Linked DNA regions of Drosophila melanogaster. The protein of the gene in region 2 interacts with the protein of the main gene of each other region in a pairwise test. Each region holds a gene or a part of one and is shown on either strand. Other genes may lie near its edges.

Evidence for each region.
Region 1: the proteins of CG30324 (region 2) and Cchl interact in a two-hybrid assay, tested with the Drosophila melanogaster proteins (one large-scale study listed by BioGRID).
Region 3: the proteins of CG30324 (region 2) and dar1 interact in a two-hybrid assay, tested with the Drosophila melanogaster proteins (one large-scale study listed by BioGRID).
Region 4: the proteins of CG30324 (region 2) and Fer2 interact in a two-hybrid assay, tested with the Drosophila melanogaster proteins (one large-scale study listed by BioGRID).

Annotation. Positions count from the first base shown.
Region 1 is NT_033777.3:22,024,986-22,030,037, forward strand, and holds Cchl (cytochrome c heme lyase), read right to left. Parts: upstream 2,496-5,052; 5' UTR 2,175-2,495; intron 2,082-2,174; 5' UTR 2,053-2,081; coding exon 1,463-2,052; intron 1,406-1,462; coding exon 1,150-1,405; 3' UTR 990-1,149; downstream 1-989. Other genes in the region: CG6028 (uncharacterized protein), read right to left, coding at 1-68, 155-419; ND-42 (NADH dehydrogenase (ubiquinone) 42 kDa subunit), read left to right, coding at 3,036-4,163, 4,231-4,326; CG13409 (uncharacterized protein), read right to left, coding at 4,721-5,052.
Region 2 is NT_033778.4:16,287,086-16,291,364, reverse strand, and holds CG30324 (uncharacterized protein), read left to right. Parts: upstream 1-3,131; 5' UTR 3,132-3,224; coding exon 3,225-3,719; 3' UTR 3,720-3,779; downstream 3,780-4,279. Other genes in the region: JhI-26 (juvenile hormone-inducible protein 26), read right to left, coding at 155-437, 614-1,413, 1,757-1,993; CG30099 (uncharacterized protein), read left to right, coding at 2,441-3,094; CG9068 (uncharacterized protein), read right to left, coding at 3,915-4,279.
Region 3 is NT_037436.4:3,623,917-3,629,930, reverse strand, and holds the start of dar1 (dendritic arbor reduction 1), read right to left. Parts: upstream 3,580-6,014; 5' UTR 2,850-3,579; coding exon 2,787-2,849; intron 1-2,786. UniProt on the Drosophila melanogaster protein: Transcriptional regulator which promotes dendrite growth by suppressing, either directly or indirectly, the expression of the microtubule-severing protein spas.
Region 4 is NT_033777.3:16,147,939-16,153,198, forward strand, and holds Fer2 (48 related 2), read right to left. Parts: upstream 3,375-5,260; 5' UTR 3,283-3,374; coding exon 3,236-3,282; intron 2,870-3,235; coding exon 2,676-2,869; intron 2,613-2,675; coding exon 2,342-2,612; intron 2,245-2,341; coding exon 2,033-2,244; intron 1,978-2,032; coding exon 1,850-1,977; 3' UTR 1,431-1,849; downstream 1-1,430. Other genes in the region: CG5916 (uncharacterized protein), read left to right, coding at 1-436, 497-828.

The DNA.
Region 1 (5,052 bases), on a different chromosome or scaffold from region 2:
GCTAAAGAACAATGGTTCCTTGGGGGTCGGCTTGTTCTGCTCATCGCAGTGGTCCTGGTAGTTCAGACCTGCAAGCAGATCGAGAATACGTCATTTTGAAGGTCAGGGTCCAACTACATATGTTTATACATATGTATGTTAATTCATTCTTTACCAATGCAGATGATCTTGCCGGGATCGGTAAGAGGCGGCAGCAAAGTGACATCATCATTCACCTCGAGTCGCGGCTGCTTTTCGGCCTTCTTCGCCAGTTCCTCCAGATTGGGATCCTGGGCAATCAGGATCTTTAGATCGCTGGGCACACCCTCCAAGCCGGCAAATTCCACCAGCGACTTTTGATCCTCGGACAGTAGACCAAGTCGCTTGGCCAAGTCACCTTTTCGCAGGTATTGAACGAACCTCATTCTGGCAGCTTGCATTTATGACTGATTTACGTCGAACGAATCTATCGCGGCTATCCAATTAACGCTCCAGTGGCCAAACTCGAATCTCACGTAATGAGGGCACCAGCAATCAGTTAAAGAATTTACACGCGCTTTTCAACACTGCCAGACATTAACCCCCTGAAGCCGCAGGTGTTAGAAAAGCATCATACATATAAACATACATATAATGTTATGGGTTGCATATCAACTTTTTATCAGAAAATGTATGTTAAAAAAGTTAAGAAACGTCTAAAGTTATATTCTATTTACTATACATTTTTTAAATTTGTAGTAATGATAAAAAAGTAGTAAACGTATTTTTATAATTTCGCAATCATTTTAAAGAGCATATAAATAAAATATAAAACTAAAGATTAAGAAAAAAAATTTTTACAGGCATTTTGAACAGATGAGAATTCTGCATATACATAAGTATATCAATAAAAAAAAACTTTAATTAATATATTCCTCCACAATGCTATCAACTCGTTACTGGATAATTCGAAATCCTTAAAAGGATTTAAGTAAAGAATAAAATAAAAAGCAAAACCACATTCGAATTTTGGTGTTCAGAAGTCAAGATTCAACATTTATTTAAAGAGAGGGCTCAACATCGTTTCGCTTCGCAGCGTCTTAAACGCATTTAACCAAACTCCCTCTTCCATCCATTCGATAACTTAAGCCGATTTTGTACCTATAGCGATCATCTAAATATGCATTCCATCTAGTCGCTACCAGCGGTCACTTTGCCGCCATCCGCGCTGCCAAACTTCTCAAACAGCTCGTACTTCCAGCGCATGTAAGCTACGCGCATTCTGTCCCAAACGTTGTCCACGGAGTCCATGGCTGGGCGCACATCCAGCAGGGCAAAGCGGTAGTCTTTGTCCACCAGTCCACCGTCGTAGTAGTCGATGACGTAGCGCACATCCTTGCCGCAGCGATCGACTATCCAGTCATGCCTATCGAATGGCAGCTCGTATCTGTAAGACAATTCGAACATTAATTCAGGTGAGATCTTCCGTCTGGAGTATACTCACCCCAGCCAGCTGCGGAATCGAGCGCGCGGACTGAAGTCCTTGGCCTTGCCACCGAAACTCTTGAGGCGCGGATTGCCGCATTCCTTGGCGTGAAGCGCCTCCCACTTAAGTACCTCCTGCCAGGCCTGCTCGTTGTTGGCATTGTGGATGCGTATGATGTCGCCCATGTCCTTTTGCGATACGTCCTCGGTCTTCCAGCGCCAGCCCTTGCGTAGCATGGCGTTCCAGAACATCTGTTGGCTGGGATACTGCCAGAATTGAACGCTGCCATCCTCGGTGACTTTGGGAATGGTCGACGTCTGGCGGTCGGTGGGCAGTGGAAAGGGCTGATCTGCCGCCGGCTGTTGGTTTGCCGGTGGCATCATATTCAGCGGATTAACGTCGCTGTTGTCGTGCTGCACCGGACATTCGGAAGCGGCCTGCATCTTGGGATGTGGGGGTACGGCGGAGGCCGATTTTGCATCTCCATGCTTCTGATGCATGGGGCATTCTGGTGGCGGGGCACCACTGCCGCTCATGTACTTGGCGTGGTCCACCGGCACACTCTTCGTGGCCTCCATTTGCACTCGGGTGATGGCTGTATTGCCCATTTCTGCTGGGGATTGGTTAATAACAAAATCTGTGTCACGAGGAAAATCGCATTAGTTCTCAGTTGCGTAACTGTAAGGAGTGGGTTACACTCCCAGTGCTGGGCCCCAACGCCAGGACTTACTCGATCCTAATGGTCACAACTCTCGATATTTGTCGATCTTCTCCTGGAGCCTTTCGCCTTAAATTTTGATTTATATTTTCGTTAGTTCATCGTTAGAACTTTTGAGCCCAAAATGCAGCGAGGTTGTGGTCAGGGCTGCCAGACCAACGGAAAGTGGACCAGTTGTTTCTGCACCGTGACAATATGTTAAGTTAAAAATTTAAAAAATCAACTCGCACCGCACGGCAATGTGAGTTTATGGTGTGTGTCTGTCTACAAATGAAAAGCATTGTTGAATTTATTTCAAGTAAATTAACTTGTAGTTAAACACCCCAGCTGTGCTGTGTAGTGTTGAGCAGTCGCTTTGCGATATTTTTAAAAAGTAAAACAAATACATTTATACATTAAAATGTTATTTTGTAAGTGTTATATAAAGTTTTTAAAATACTGGGTTAAATTTCATTTCATATGAAATTCTTTCTGATTCTGAGAAAAGTCGCAGTTAAAGCATAGACAAACATTTTGATTTTACATTTTTGATATTTGAACGGATACCTTGACAGCCCTATTCGGGGAGTTTTCCAACACCAACCATAGCCCGAAATTTGTTTTTGGGTAGACTTCCGATATTTAGATTGAAAAGTGAGTAAATACCACCGGATAGAGCATTAAAACCGACAATTTGGGTAAATCTATGGAGCGCCGCAATGCTGGCCAGCAGAATGCAACGAAAAGATCCGCATATCTGCAGTTCTAGGGCAGAGATTACCGCACTACCTGCGTAGCTCCTGTGATGTAACCACACGACAAATTGCCACTGGACGAGATATAATTGTTATTATCTTGTTTCGTTTTTGTACTGACCCTTGTTTTCCCTTCAGAATGACCGCCGTGTTCCGCGTAGGACTGGTGCGGCTCGTCAGCCGCGCCACACAGTCGCCCAATCTACTCCAGGCGCAGACGAATGCCCTGCCTGCTGCCTTCCAGCAGCGATGCAGCATCTCCGGCAAGACGATGCGAGGTGGACCACGGGTGCCCAAGGCCGCCCCCTATCCGTACAAGACGAAGAAGTACAGCGTGTTCAATGCTATTTTCGACAAGACCTCCAAGCGTTTTGACGAGAACTCCAAGGTGATCTGTGTGGAGGGACCCATCGCGGCCGGCAAGTCAAAGTTCGCCAAGGAACTGGCTGAGGAGCTGGACATGGAGTACTATCCGGCAGTTGATCTGGACCTAATCTACATCAATTCGTACGGCTATGACATGAGGAAGTTGGATCCTCAGTTGCCGCCCAGCTGCCGAAGCTACGATGTGCGCAACTTCTGCCTGGATCCCAGCCACGATCTGGCTGCCCAGTTCCAGATTCGCATGTACATGCTGCGCTATTCGCAGTACATTGATGCCCTGCAGCACGTCCTTAGCACCGGCCAGGGTGTTGTCCTCGAGCGCAGCCCCTACTCGGACTTTGTCTTCATGGAGGCCATGTTTCGGCAGGGTTATCTGTCACGCGGTGCGCGTTCCGTGTATAATGAGCTCCGACAGAACACCATCGGGGAGCTGCTGAAGCCGCATTTGGTTATCTACTTGGATCTGCCGGTCGATGCCGTGAAGAAGCAGATCAAGGCACGCAATGTGGACTACGAGGTGCAGTCAAAGGTGTTCAGCGATGCCTACTTGAGCGATTTGGAGCAGCTGTACAAGCAGCAGTACCTCAAGGACATCTCCACCCATGCCGAGCTGCTCATCTACGACTGGACAGCCGGCGGTGAGACTGAGGTTGTGGTGGAGGATATCGAACGCATCGACTTCAACCAGTTTGAGGCCGATATTCACAACAAGAAGATGCTCGACTGGCGTTTCCCGCTGGAGGCCGAGTGGTGCGAAGCCCGTATCAAGTACTGCCATGAGAAGCCCGATCTGATGAATTACTTCAATGTGCCGCGTTTCGATGTCCCGGAGCTGGTGCGCAGCGCTGACGACGGCAAAGTCTGGCGTGATGTCTGGTTCAATGTAAGTTCGGTGTTTCCATTTCCCTGTTCGATTTCTTTTCACATTAATTCTGCCCCTTTGCACACAGGCTCCCGGCATGAAGTACCGTCCTGGCTACAATGCAGACATGGGCGACGAGGGTCTCCTCACCAAGACGAAAATAGGCATCAACCAGGGCATCTAGAGGGTTTTTGCTATGCTTTCGAGTTGAAATCACCTGGCGAAATGTGTTAATTATCTAATAAACAGTCTAGTAAAATAATCAGAACCCAATTAGTTAAAAAGCGAATATGGTAAATATCGATTGTAAATACTTTTCATACAACAAAACTCGAACTATTGGGTTTATTTATACTTTTTTTTTAACATAAATTTCGAATTCAGCTTAATCATGAATACCCAAACATATTTCGATCCTCTCCAGTTTCATTGATCAACCAGAGATTAATTTTTTGAAATTTTAAGTTAATTTATGCATTATATTAGGGAATACTTTGTACACATTTAGCACTAAAACTTCAATTGCGCTATGGAACATTTGGGTATTCGTTCTGCCGCGGATACTTCTTAATCGCCGATCAATCGCTGTCGTAATCGTTCTTTCCAGCACCGCCGCCCACAGAGGTGAGCGGTCGCCGTGACTCCTCGTCGGAACCGTAGACAACATCCTCGTCGGAATCGTCGATCATGGAAATAGCCGGATTATCCTTGGTGACAGCCAGCTCCGCCTGGGCGAACCGTCCATCTGGCGAGTACACATACGCCATGGTGTACAGGTAAAAGTTAAGCAGTCCGTAGAAGCACATAAACTGCGCCGAACTGCGATAGGTGGTGTTAAGTGAGGCGACAAAGTTATCCTCCAGGATGCCGAAGCCAAAGCGACACGTCGTCACCGTGATGGATATGGACA
Region 2 (4,279 bases):
GATTCCCCCACCACTGTTAAAAATTCCTAGTCACGGTTAAACAGTGTATTAAACTCTAAATAGGTAATGCATGTCACTTTAACATCTATTTTATTATCTACAGTTACGCTATACCTGAAATGCCTGAATACTTTTACATTAGGCTATCAATTGATTACTCCTTGGGCAACTTGTCAAGATCAATGCCGTCATCAATGGACACCCCTGTCGCCTGGCTCAGCTCCAGCATTTCCTTAACCTGGTGAGCAACCTCCCTGTCCACAACTTCTCCACCTCGATTCATGGTCCGTTCGATGATTTCCTCGTCAGACAGTTGCAAGGCGAACATCTCCTCGGGCGAGATGTCCAAGGGATCCACCAAACTCATGAGGAAACTGGCCGATATGGATAAGCTGTACGGCAGGAAACGCACGTACTCCTTCAGAAGCTCACCGCGACTAAGAAATAGCGTAATTAGTATTATATTATTTCTTGGCAGTAAAAAGCTTTACAGGATTATCTTATCTTATCACATCGAGCACCTAATGAGTATTTTTAGATTTTTGATTTGCATTCATATCGCTTGTTTGAAATTTTAAAAGCTTATGAATAATGAATAATAATAACAACTCACCTTAGGAAATCCGGAACCTCCTCCTTGGCGTGCTCCCTATAGCTATTATGAAGCGCCAAGGTGTATTCACAGAAGATGGCCTCGAAGTTTGGATCGCGTACCTCGGCAAAAATGGACACGGCTAGAAAGACGTTGAGATCGACCATGGGAGAGGAGACTCGCAATGTCTGGTAGTCGAACATCATGATCTCCTGCGGCTCCTCCTTGTCATCGTACCTGTACGCCACATTATTCCTCACATAATCGCCGTGGCACAGGGTGGCCAGTGGCTCCCTGGGCGCCACCCGTTGCCTACCGTATTGCGAATAGTCCGAGATCATGAAACAGAACTTCTTAACAAACTCCTCGTCGATCTGTGGCTGATAGGTGGCCACCGCCTTGGCCGCTCGATCGATGCTCGTTTTCATGGTGAGCTTCCATTCCGGATGAATGTTATCGTTGGCATAGCGAGATTCCTTCAGATTGTCAGTCAGCTGGGCAAACTTTTCCGGGTTCTTGTGCTTCATGGCGTACGCAAAGCCATGGAACCTTCCCAGGTAACTCACGGCAATCATGGCGTGCTGCAGACTCAGACCCACACGATCCTTGGTGACCCGCCATCCCTGCTCCGCGAAATTCTCCAGAATGGCCACAGCCGAATGCTGGTTCAACTCGCCGTAATAGTACTTGGGTGCGGCAAACTTGCCATCGGTGAACTTCTGAAACTCTGGCAGAATTTCCGTATAGAAATTTATCTCGTTGGTAAAAAGGGGCCCAAACTGTATGGATTCATACATTTCTGGTGGCATAGCAGGTGTTTTCTACAAAAAAAAAAAAAAACAATTAATTATTGGTATTCTGGGGTCATTGCATGCCAAAGTAAACTTCATCATTAGATGTGATTTATTTTGAATTCAAAATCAATTCGCTTTGTTCTTTTGTTGAGATGCCTCCCTCTATTTCACAATGTTTGCCATAAAACCCACACTCTCACTAAGCTATCTGAGTTTGCTGGAAAACAAAACTGGTAAGTAGTACGCAGTTAAGGCACTTATATAATATAATTTAAATTCCGCGAGTATAGTAAATCTTTTCGTTGTGTTTTTAGATATCCAGATAGATTGTTTAAGATTTATTTATACTATGTGAATGGAATAAACCTACCTTAACCACCATTTTTCGCTGAAACTTTTGCCCGTCGTATTCAAAATTAATGGTTGTCCGGTAGCAAAAAGTTAGCATAAAGGCCTCCGAGTGGCCAATTACATCAATGTCGATGTCCCCCACATGGAATGTGGTCACCTTGGACTCGCTGTAGTTGTCCACCAGGCGCCCGTTCCTCAGAATTGACGGAAGAACCGTGTATCTCAGCCATTGCCTCTCAGCCTCGATCTTCTCCATTTCGTCGGTACTGACGATCCCAACCGCTTCGCTTGTGGATAGCGAATGAGCATAAACCATTTCATATAGCTCATTTTGTACTACTCTCCAAAAGCTCATTCGTTGTTAGAGATTACACGATAAGAGCGAATTGGAAATGAAAAGCTTTCTAATCATTAAAAGCACTTTATGGTTTATAGAGAAGCAGTACCTACCTAATGATTAGCATGATGCAATTTGGCATGTTAAAATGATATGATAAGATATCATGACGCAAAGATAGGGGGATACGCTATTTATTAGTTTTAATTAGTTTTTTTTTTTTGTTTATTGTGTGCAAAGTTTAATGATTCCTTTGGATTAAGTTCTATTTTCCATAATCACAGGTATCGATATATTTTTAGTCAAAATTTCCAGTTTTAGAAAAAGCTATCCTACCGTTGCAGTTCGACTATCGACCAACTACCAATGGGCCTCAACTGGTATTTACTCAAAACGACCGGGTCAATGACCAGGGCCAACACCTACGTTCGAAAGTTCACGAATGGATCGCAGCAAAGTCGAGATATCAGCATGCCATCCAAAGTGCCAAAGAGGACAAGTGCTTCGATCAGGATCACGGATTTGGATAACATGTCATATATGTCCTCTTCTTCGCGAAAAGGCAAAATAACGAGCGGCCGACACGATCAGTTGAAAATGTCGAAGAATGCTCAACACGACGATGTCGTCTGTCCAATGCAAGCGAGTAGGAAGCCCATCGAGGAGCCCACTGTTCGGGATTCGCCACAAATGCGCGAGTTCTTCGAGGAAGTGCGTCAGCGAAAGCTCAAGGATTACTATCTTCAGATGAAGGCTGCACAAAGAAATCCAGCGATGTCCCATGTGTGTCCGGATTGTGGTTTTGTGAAGCGGGATAAGAAGGATCTCAGCAAAAACATTTACTGCACGGGGGATAAACGATTGAGGATAAAAGATTGTGATCGGCATGGGGATCTCACCTGGCTGTGGAACTCCTCCGCTGCATATCCTCACTCTGCACTTAGTTGTGGATGCAGCAGAGGTGTCTCCAGCCACTTGGAAACTTTAATCAAGCTGCACAATATAAAATGTTTAATTTAAAATTTGTAATTTTTGATATCTAGTTGCCAAGGAGTTTGCTGATAATACATCTGTTTTTCTCCGATATTTAGTTTCATTCTGCAATCCAAATCGTTCGTACCTTTCCGATTTGAACCCCACTCTTTCCACAATGTTTTCCGATCCCGCCCAGGAGTCGGTTGCCACGCAGACGGAGGCACAACCGGTTCCGTCGCCCATCTGCACCCCACTGCTGATGGTGGACGAGGATGGACGAAAGCGGTACTGCTACCATGGTGGAAAATGCAAGTGTGCCACTTGCGCACAAATTCGTGCAGAGCAGGCAGTGAAACTCGACCAGGAGCTGCTGTCCTACATACCGCACTCGAAGCTCCACCTGGAAGTTCCAATCCGAATGGCCAAGCCGAAGCAGTATCGCCTGGAAGCTCGACGGGCTACTCCCGAACTGGCAAAATTTCTGCGGGAGGATCACGAGAGGCTGAGGGCGGAGTATCCATCGTACTATCTCCCGGATCGATACTTTGGTAAGAAATTCTACGAGTTGCCAGGACCGCAGCACAAGGAGACCCAGACGGACATTCCGATTGGGCGTTACGGCATCGATGGTTGTCCCTGTACCAATAAATCGCTCTGCTATGACTTGTAATCCTGGGCAGGACTCAATTGGGGAAAAAAGAGTTTAATAAAAGTTCGGAATGTGAGAAGTATTTGCATGTTTTTCAATAAATCACTATAGTTAATTTCCCCGACTATCACATACCCATTACTCAGCTAGTAGGTGTGCAAATTAAATTTAATGTAAATAAATTGATTATCACTTATGATAATAGTTATGATACTCCTATTTCTTGGGTAATTTGGAATAGAAATCCTCCAGGAAATCCTTTAATATCAACTTGAACTTTTCGCCGTGCTTGGCCAATAGCAACTTGGCCTCACTGTCCTCATTGTCCAGCATCTCATCCGCTTCCTCCAGCACCTGAAGGTAATGCAGCCAAGCCGTTTCCAATCCCATAACCTGCTCAAATGTTTCCTCGCTAAGCTTCACCTGGTATTTGTGCAGCAGAACGAAGAGTTCCAGCATCGGAGTAAATGCGGACTGCTTCACTGGCACATCCTTCAGGAGTTTTTCAAAGAGCTGTTTGGCAGCCACCGTTTCACGGATGGTACGAGGAACCTTCATCACATTACGCTCGTTGCGTCGCA
Region 3 (6,014 bases), on a different chromosome or scaffold from region 2:
CTGGGCCTTAATGAGATTTTGGCCAACTGTTTTCATGGCTTACTCCAGTTATTATTTAACTGCCATTGTCTGGACGGTGTGTAATTGGCAATCGGTGTTTTGTTCGGGGGCTCGATCCAATCTTGAACTCATTTCGAAATGGAAAGTCTACTAGGGATATCATTATCTTATCGGGCCATTATTCGGCTGTTTTCTATCTAATTTGCCACGATTTTTTATGGCTCAGATGAGCAGACGGCAAGGCAATTGCCGTAATTCTTGTTAAATTTCAGCACCGATTTTGATTCTTTGAAGGCGGCCGCCTTTGTCTGATTCCGATTCGCAAATGCAAATATTTCCTATTGATTCAGATAGGCTATAAACTCATATACGTTTCATTTGGTATATTTGTAAATGTCTTTTATTGACAAATCACTGGAGCGACTGCAAGTTTCGTTTAGTCTTAAATAATTTGCATAATTCTTCGGCCCGTTTAGTTTAAACACCCCCCCCCCCCCTTTTTTTTTTCAAAAGCTCAAACTTAGAGTTATCTGATTTTTATCTATATTTAATTATTTACGATTGAAGCACAATGGTTCAGGGTCATTAATCAGAGCCGCAAAAGTCGGCGCTATAACCGCCTGGCTACGTGCTGGATTACTTCCATTATTCACTGAATGTATTCGATACGCAGATACTCGGATACTTGGATACTTCTATACTCAGTGCAGCTAATTCCCTGTAAGCGATCGTAAACTAATTTCGTTTAGAGCCATAAAATACGAAAGTTTTTCGTCATAATCGCCGTGAGTCGTGGGAATTACCTTACCATATCTCATCATATCTGTTAAATCAGTGGAAAACGGAAGAAGTCCACCCCCTCACCCAAAAGCTTACACTATCTGGAGGAAGTGGATGGGGCTTCCAGGGGGCCAAAGGGGGCCAACAGCGCTTTGTACTTTTGCGACTGTGTGTAAATATTTGACAACACATGCCTAATTAGTGCAGCTATTGATGGTGACAGGCGGAACAAGCACAACACACTTGTCGAACACCCAGCTCTTTTACGATGCCTTTTTACCCGGAATCGCCAATGTCTCGGGTTTCTTCGTCTGTACCTATGTATGTATATCTGTTTCGCTGAGGTTCCCGGAGTTCGATCCTTATCTCTGGGGGAAGGAAGTGTTCTGAGGAGGGCAGCTGGAGGCACTTAACACAGAGCTTTTGTTGAGCAAGGCTAGACTTTCTGCGGGAAACTGAACTTATCAATGGGCGTAAGGCTGGTAGACCAACGGTTGTAAAATGTTGAGATAAGGCAATAAGACAGGGAATGATAGGAAAATTTAGGAAGATAGCCTACACATCATAAAATTTATAAGAAAGATAATCAAGGCTCAAGATTATTGGTAATAAAAAAGTACGTATACTTTGAAAAATTAATTCATGGTAAATGAGTATGGCCTAAAAACTTAACCTATACTCGATAACTTTAATAACCACAATCTGTGCGATCAGTTTCACTCTAAAGTATTTATTGACATTCAGCAATAAACAGGATAAACAGTTCCTCGGAAAGACATATTACTCATACGTATGTACCCTTGCCGTTTGTAATTATGTTCTCATACTATCCAATACCATCGATCAATGCCACCCAGTCGATGATCAGGCTATAGCTATATGTATATATTCCCGGGTAGGAACCGTGTTGAAACCATCTCGTCAGTCAGTTGGGGACACTTGGCACATTGGCAAAGTGTTGGGGGCAAATATTTACCCAGAGCTTCGCAAGTAAGCGCGAGTCAAACAATTGAGGCAAACAAGCCGGGAAAACAGAAAAACAGGCTGCAAACATGGATATCGAAAGGAGGAGTGCGGATCGGATCGCATCGGATGGACTGTGATCGCCACAGTTTCCCTGCGGAACGCGTGAAAAGTGTGGATGAGTTCAAAAGAGTTAACCGACCGTGTATTTGAGAACGGCTTTAAGAGCCGAGAGTTCCTGCAGGTGATAACAAGATTTACAAATCGATTGTCGCATTTGACAAACAAAAAAAAACAAAAATGGGGAAAAAACGGCGAAGGAACCGAAGGAACACCTGAGGAAATCCAAGGTGTTAATCTCTGTCGAAACACACTCGAGAACACTCAAAAATTACGCAGTCCAACTCCTCATCTCAATCGATAATTGAGCTAATTTGTTTTCGGTTTTATTGTAATTTGTGATTGCCGCGTGCGTTTTATTTATACTCGTACTCGAATTCGTACAAAAATCGTCAAAAATCTGGTCTGTTCAAGATTTGCATTTTGATAAGCGGAAGTTGTTGGGCTTAAGGTGTTTTTCATGTGATTTGTAAGCTCTCGTATTTGTTGTGTGCTCGCTTATTGTTGTCAAATTTGGCTAAAATTAATTTGCAATAAAAGCGGCTTAATTAGCGCACTTTGGTACGTAAAGTTTTTTTTGTTTCATTTGAATTGGGTTTGACAAGGAACCTGTGATTGCAAATTAATTGGCTAATGATTACGATATTTAAACGCTTTGTGATGTGTTCATCCTTGTTTAAAGACACACATATTCTTTCTATAATAGTTGGATATATTTCCATTTGAATGTTGATCAAGCTAGGGAATTTTATTTAAGTGATTGATATTTGAAATTTCGACACTGCCTTTTATTTGATAGAAAATATCTATCTGCTATTTGGATTTTATTTATTACAAAAGATCAAGTTTTCTAGATCTTTTCGCTGGAATTTCCAGAATGTCTTAAGTAGCCTTTAATTAAATATTCTAGTAACCGAACTCACCTGCATCACCCAGTAGTTATTGTTGGCGGCAAACTGATCACCAATTATGATATCCGTATGCATTTAAGCGGCGTTTTTCGCATGAAGCTCCTTCACTCGACTGTTGGCCAGGTGGAATGCCTGGCGGGGGAGGGGATGCCACCGATTCTACCGATATTCTACCAATATTTAACCCGACAATTTGCAACTGGGCTCCGTACTTTTGTGTTTGCGGACAATTAAATGGCGCTGCTCTGACTCACGAGTCACGATCAGTTCAAGGCACAGTGATTAATCAATTTCGGATGCGAATTCAAAATCGTATTCGGAATCGAATTTCGGGATTATTATTGAATACTTCAGCTTGACATGGCACTGCGAGCAACAGACATTGCGGCACGTTTTCTTATTATTCAATTGCTTTTTGTTATTTGTTGTTAAATTAATTTAATTTGCAAGGATATGCAAATGAAGGCACTCGATCACTTTCTCTCACTCTTTTGTTTCCCTTTGTTTGCACACTGATTTTTTGTATCCTTTGCGTTAATTGCACAAAATTAATAAAAGCCGGCGGCTTTCGCTCACTTCCGCATTCGATGATGAGCTTCGGCTTGTATCTTATTTGTATCTGTATCTCTTGTTCCTCTCGATATGCTGTATATATGGGCAGTAAATTCGTTGCAATATTCTACAGATAATGGTAAGGCACTTGCGGGTTTCAATTTATAACTTATTTTCTGTGTTGCTTGAGTGGATATTTAGGCGATTCACGCGCTCGTCGGCGAAGTTGTTACTGCGCTGGCGGGAACCGAGTTCGTACTGATTGGACGAGCGCGGGTTTCGCGCAGACGAGCCTCGAAAGTCAGAAAGCCAGTCAGCTAGCTGCCGCTTAACCCCCGCCGCTTAACCCTCCACTGCCCGCTCTGTGCCGCTCTCGCTCACCTTTCGTATCTGTATCTGTCGGATACTCTGCTCACCAGGTGTTCCGCTCACCTGGTCCGCTCTCCGCCACTTTCGGCCCAGGTGATCTGTCGCTCTTATATCCGACTCTCAGGTGTGTTCCAGCCAGCTGATCTTATTGGAGACACTGGAGTATAAGAGCTGCGATCGATTTTAATTGAATGAACCGCCTGGGATTCGCCATTTTAGATTTGACCTGCGGTAGAGGTGGTAATGGGTGAAAAAGTAAGTAACCACGCTTCAGAAAAGATCTCGAAATAGGGCAAGGAGGTTAGAAATTAAAGTTTATAAGTCCCTTATGGAGTATTCAGTAACAAATAAATAAAAATTATTAATTTTAGAGTAATAATTTTATTATAATCCGATCAATTAGAATATCATTTAAATTTACAAAACTTTACAATTAAATGTTTATATAAATAAAATCTACATATATGGCTTCGATTTGATTTAATTGATTTCCGTAAAGAACTTTTATACGACAGAGTGTTTTTTAAGGACCTCGTTCTTTTTTTATAAGTTTTATAACTTAAGGTATAAAATTGGTAGCCTTTAAGGAGTAATAAATCAAAAACATACAAAGCATAATCCCCGAACAGAACCTCCCCCATTAAAACCGCTTTACTACACCGTTCATTAAGTTTGACACATTTTAGATAGAGCCTAAACAAAATAAAAACTGTCCAGCTAACACGCGAATCTTTCATAGACCTCATGCAGTTTTAGATGGTAAAAAAAAAACATAATTAAATAGAATTAAAGCATAAATTAAGTCAGCTTATGTGCTTTCTTTGGGGGAAATCAATAGAGCGACAATTAAAAGGTATCTGTATCTACATATTCCAGGTGGAAAGCAAAAGAAGAACGAGGACTGTCATTTCCCTGTGTAATTCCCTGAATCATAAAATTACCCCAACGCACGCCACACATAAAAGCCATTTTCATTTCGACTCATCCCCCTGGTTTCCTTATTTTTGGCCATTAGGGAGCCACAAGTTTATGTTTTCCGCGCGCGGGGGGGTAAAATGGTTGGTGCAGGGGGGCCAAAAGTATCTGAAATAACACGCAAACGTGGTTTTCTAAGGGGGTTTTTAGAGGTGTGGCCTCTCCGGATAGCGGCGCAGACTCAAAAGTCAGCCAATCGGCGGTCGACAAAAAGAGCGAGAAACACGAGATACAAGATACAACGAGTGAGCGGGACGGGGCATGCGGTTAGAAAGAGAGAGCGAGACACTTTTGCGTACACGGTGGCAGTAAGTGGAAAAAACAACAACAACGCTACACGCAGGTGGAAAAACAAAAACATCAACATACATGGTCAGATACGAAAGTATCTACACTCGCAGATACATTCGTCCATATTCGACGCCACCGATAATTGACTGTAGTATTCCCCGGCTTTCGCTATTGACTTCGTGCAAATTTGCCATTAATGCCACCGCAGACGTCTGCAGATACAAGCCGAGATACTCAGATACATTCGAATTTGTTTGTCTTCGCGCTTTTGTTTGCTCTCGAGCTGCTTGTCTTACGTTTGGCATCCGTGAGATATGCCAAAGACACATTTCCAAGCCCGTACTTGACTCCGTTCGCCGGTTGACAAATGCCAGCCAATTTATAACGCTTTTGGCCTAGAATGAAGCGGTTGAGTACGAAGATATGCGCGCTCTGGGGATTTAAATATGCATATTATGATTAAGGGGCTTTAGAATATCTATGGCACTGTAAATTAAATTATTAATTGAAGGGTACAACGAAAATGCGTGTTTTTCAGTTATTATGTTATAACTAAGTCAAAATAAGACACATCGCTATAAGAAGCACTGTTTTTTACACCCGACAACCTAAGAAGAAAACCCAAATCACTTTTTAAGAGTTTTTGAAAAAAAAAAAATTTACCCATTTTTCGACTTTTTTGTAAGGGGTACCATCATCAAAATTTTCGAAAATGGTCAAAAAAATTTTTTTTACACATTTTAATGGCAGTTGTTTTGTGTTTGTAAAGGATAAAGATCTGAGCACAACGAGGTATAACTTTCCAAATTTGGACAATTTTTTCGATTTTTATGCACAAAAAACTAAATTTTGTTTAATAATGACTTGTCTATGAGTATATACCATCCTTAGATCCTTCTGTAATCATTTTAAACTCTATTTACTTCTCTTTATAAATGACATATTTATATCCTCTTTACTCACGTTTTTACCGAAATCCCCGTAAAAAAAAAGCCTGTAATGTATCAATTTTGGCGCTTTTATGTCGAGATCCGATCAGTTAACCATAAATAT
Region 4 (5,260 bases), on a different chromosome or scaffold from region 2:
CGTCCCGACGTCTGGATGAAGATATCTGGAGCTGCCGCCGCCCAGCGTCGCTCGCCGGATCTCTTTCGCAACCTTCTGCGCACCGAGCCCTTCGACAAAGAAATCAGCGATTCCATATCAATCGATCTACCTCGTACCTTCCCCGACAATATTCACTTCGATATGAAGAAGCAGCGGTTGTACAACATTCTCATCGCCTACGCCCATCACAATCGGGACGTGGGTTACTGCCAAGGTCTTAACTACATAGCCGGCCTCCTGTTGATCGTCACCGACGATGAGGAGAAGTCCTTTTGGCTGCTCAAGCATATCGTTGAAAACATCGTGCCGCAATACCATTCCCATAATATGGCCAATCTGCTGAGGGATCTGGCCGTGTTCCGCGAATTGGTCATCCGGCGAATTCCCGCTGTAAATCGGCATGTGGATAACTTGGGTAAGATTTAGTTTAAAGAACTAAGTCCGTAACCAGTTGCTAACATATTTTTTATTCCAGGCCTGCCCTATCCGGTGATCGCCAGCAAATGGTTCATCTGCATCTTTGCCGAGGTGCTGCCCGTGGAGACTGTGCTACGTATATGGGACTGTGTCTTTGCCGAGGGCTACAAGATCGTTTTTCGTGCCGCCCTAACCATGTTCGTCACTCACAAGAACGCCATTCTGGGCTGTGATGATATTGCTGCCCTGGCCAATCTATTCCGGGATACCATGATCCAGGACAACATTGTGACGGACTGTCATGGCTTTGTTGAGGCCATGTTCAGTCTGCGTTTGAAGAGAAGCGAGCTAGAGAGCCTACGCAAGGTGGCCGTGCTTAATCCGGCCTAAGGAGCCAGTGTGGAAAGGGCTCTATGACCAATAGATCAAACAACAGCAACAAAACCAAAAACAAATTGGAGAAGCAATCGAAAATTCAATTATTAGGAGCGTAGTTCAGCCGTGTCATTGTGTTTATGTTCATTATTGTGAGTGTGCATTATGTAATCGTTTCTATTTAGTACATACTTATGTGCGCGCATTTGTATTACCATTGTAGCCAAGGTCAACACAATTTGAGTATTAGCCAACGAAATCTGGTCGAGTTATCAAAGCGAAATTTGAAATTTAACAGAGTTGAACAGATTAGTTTAAGCGCATATGTACCTACGTACGTATGCCGTAGGAGTAGTAGCCAAAAGTTTCTAGTTGATATCTTCCGCATGTAGTCCAAATAGAGCAAGTACATAAATATTATACAAATTACATACATGCCTAACCATCGGCAGCGCATTTAGCCCTCCTTTTACCCAACAACAAACATTTTGTGTTCTAAGTTATCTTGTTGATCAAAGAAGTATTTATTTTCGAGTATGTGTACTTTGATAGGGAGCTATGTTAATGTCTACGTCTAGTTAAAACATGTATTTACTTTTATATATATAAATGCTTTTAAAGTTGTTACATAGTTGACTAACTGTAAAACGTCTGTTAGCTGCAACTGGTTTGTCGGTTTGTCAGATCGGTTGCCCAATACTCAATACTATTTACAAAAGATTTATCCTGAAATATAATTTGAGGAATTGATTTGTAAATGCATTATCCTGCGAGCCTTTGAAACCAATAACTATTTATTAAACACAGTAGTGGGCTTCAATGGCAGATGGGTCTTGTATTTCGTGCAGCCGAGACGCTTTTCAAATAAAATACTATTGCTAACTGTTAGTAACTGTAGAAATATGTCCAGCCTTAAACTATTTTGGGATATCAAAACCTAAAGGGAAGACTTTGTAATCTTTGGGGAAGATCAGAAGCTTAAGTGGTAAGTGCTTTCAGCAGTTGATAGGCTAAGCCTCAAATATATAGAGCGAATCTACGGCATTCCGCAATGAGCTCCGCACATGGGTTCCGAGGAGAGAGCCAACGAGGTAAGCAGGGTTCGCCTACCAGGATGTACTCCGAGGTTCTCCCAGTTGATCCACGACAGACGAGCTGTGAGATCTGCGAAGCGAACCATTTATTGACCATTGATATTCCGACCAAATTCTCTACTCACCACTCGTATTCCAATTAGCCCTATCCGCTTTGATCTCTCCGCGCAGACACTTCTCCACATAGGTTAGGGGATCGTAGTCGGTTTGTAGTACCTCACGGAGCAGAGATATATAGGCGATGGCAAGCCGCAGAGTGTCGATCTTGCTCAGACGTTTCTCGTACGGAAAGGTGGGTACATGGACCCTTAGCTCATCGAAAGCCGAATTGATGCTACTGCAAAGCGCAAAAATACAAAAAAAAAAGGAAAGCTTGTTAGTTATAATTTCTGGTTAAGAGATCGTGGGATAGTAAGTTGTAAAATGGAAAAGACCATTTGGTGTACCCAGTTGGGGCGGACCTCTGGATGCGTTTCCTTTCCCGCACATTGGCCGCCTGTCGCTGCATTTTGTAGCTGGACGCAGTTGCAGCTCCCACGGATCCATATCCAGGATTGGGACCACCTGCACCGCCAGGAGTAGCAGATCCTGCGTTGCCGCACCCTCCTCCACTGCTGCTGGCACTGGGGCTGTTGCACATTAAGGGTGCTCCTCCCCCGGAATTGTGCACCCCCATTGGATTGGTAGAGGAGTCGAGCAGATTTTCTGAGGGATTTCAGAAAGATATTCAAGGTGTCTTGACGTAAATATATTTATTCTCCGTCATACCTCCGCTATGTTGCATATAATGCTGCTGGATGTGACGCAGGTTGTTGGAGCTCAGACGCAGCCCAGAACTGCCACCGCCACCTCCCGATCCACCACCTCCACCGGTGGCGCCTCCGCCTTGATGCTGACCCGCATAAATGCAGGAGGGCAAATCGTTAATCAGATCATCGTCGAAATTGTGGAAGGGTAAATGGCTGTTAAAGGTAAGAATTGAACATTTGATGATTAGGACTGTATTGTAAAGTCTAAAGTAATTAATTTTGTATCCGTGTATTTAATCAAATCGAGATACCGACGGCACTGACGAAAGTCAGTTCAGATTCTGGGCGCGACTCCACTTCTGCGCGCATACTTATGTAAATAAATAGATTTATTTTTTATTAAATAAAACTGTATATATGAGCAATTATTCAGTTATTTGATTAAATAAATATGCATACGTTTTTCGTTTATGTCGTACATTAAAACATTTTCGAATTTTATCATTATAATCAGAGAATAATTTACGTATTTATTATAGTATATTTATTATTTTATATATATTTATATAACATCCGTACCTAATGGGCGGTGAAGACGACGAATCCGGCAATTGATTTCGCGACATTTTCTTATCAAATGTGTTATTTTTTCACTAAACAATATTAATCCAATTAAAATCTAGAACGACTATTAACTTTTCCGACACTTTTACGCACTTCCGCTGTCCAATAAGTTAAAAACTTTAGTGAGTCCATCTCCCGGGAATTGCGAGCCTTTTATAGTGCCGCAGATCCAATTGGAAATGCCACAACTCTGGCCAGGACCTTTCCACCCCTAAACGTCCTTGCAGCCAGTTACCGTGAGCCGTCTACGAGATGGGCGGAGCTTGCCAAGTACAGGGTGTTTGCCCCTGCAAATGGAGCGGATGCTGTGGGAAATTCGTTGGACTTATTCGCCTCTGGCTACCCTTCAATTGCTGGGCGTAGATCTGGATTTCAAGTTAATTATGGTAGTTGATTTGCCCGTCTACTTAGAAATCAGAATGACTTTGATATTTGTTCAGAAACATGTTTTATACAAGCCATCCTTATTAAATTTTTTGGCTTAAAGTTATTTTAAGAAAAGTTAATAAGTAATTTTATTGTGTTTTAAAATATATATCCCGATTTATTTATAATTTTCCTTAATGCACAAAATTGGTTCGTTGATTGTAGGACAGCTTAAAGTCTCGCTAGCCGAAACAATACCATTGCAGCCACTCCCCTTTAAGATCCAGCTCCATTCGCTTTGTGCTTCCTTCACCTGTTTTTGACATTCTGCCATTATATTTCGCACAGCAGGAAGTCGCCATGTTTGAGTCCACCGCTTTGATGATGGGGGAGGACGAGTGGAGCTTTCTGGAGGCGGGGGACCCGTCTAACCTAACCCCAGATAACCCTCCCGCTTCCCCTTTTAAAATCAGTTTTTACAACCATATGGGGAAAGGGATATACGATGAAATCTGCTGGTAATCGGAGTACAAAATAGGGGCCCATGGACCTGTTGATTTGACTCGACTAAAGTTCGATTCCCACGGGACGAGGACACAAAGCAGAGTCAGGGCAATTAGATCTAAGGCAGATAGCTGGTCGCTACATTTCACGGCTCATTTAACCTAACCAGAACAAGAAACAGGATCAGGATCAGAATCGGGATCTGGAACCACTCGAAGCCGCAGTCTTTGTCAGCAGTCGTCACGGGGCAATTGTTGAAATTGAATTATGTTTATTTGATGTTTTGGTTTGCTCGCAAATTAGCTACGTCAGAGAATCCCCGCCCAGTCGGGCGACCTGGTCGCGTGCCCTAACCCGAGGCGCGAAAATCCCGAGCAGACCGATCCGCAGAACAAAGGGACTGGCAATATGTCAGGGATGCGGATGCGCAAACCTTTTCATTACCAGACAAATTTGCTTGTCGCACGCGTCGGCGCACACTTCGTACACCCCTCGCACCCAGAACTCCGGGCTCTGATGACAGTAATCAGTTTTGATGGAGGGTAAGTGCCCGAATCCTGTGCAGAATTCGAGTTCAGACCGATTGAGCTGGAGATAGAATTGTGGTGCCGCGAACAAAGCTGACATCCTTAAGTGAAATCTTGTTACCAACCAATGTAAACACGATTGTTAATTTAACTTTTGCAATTGCCGCAGGAAAGCCGCCCTTTAGACCGGTACTTCCCCTAATCCTAACCCTAACCCATAACCCACTGAGGTGGACTTGTCATCGCACCACAATTAAATTATCGCATTTCAAACGAGTGCACCCAAGGAAGTGTAAATCACGAACTGTGGGAAAACCAAAAATAAATAGATTGAATATCCTAAACCCATTTGATTTGCATATAAGAGTATTACTTGAAATGTTCCTTAGGTCTAAGCCGTATGGAACATGCCAATTTAACTGAGGGTTATAAACGTAAGTTAGGGTTAAGGTCATTTGAATGGGAATGTTGTGGGAATATAATATTATATGCTTGCGTATTTTGACCTATGCGCTTAGACTGGACTTAGAACTTTAACTATCTGCCAAAATAAGTTCTTAATATAGCAATACAAAACTAATCA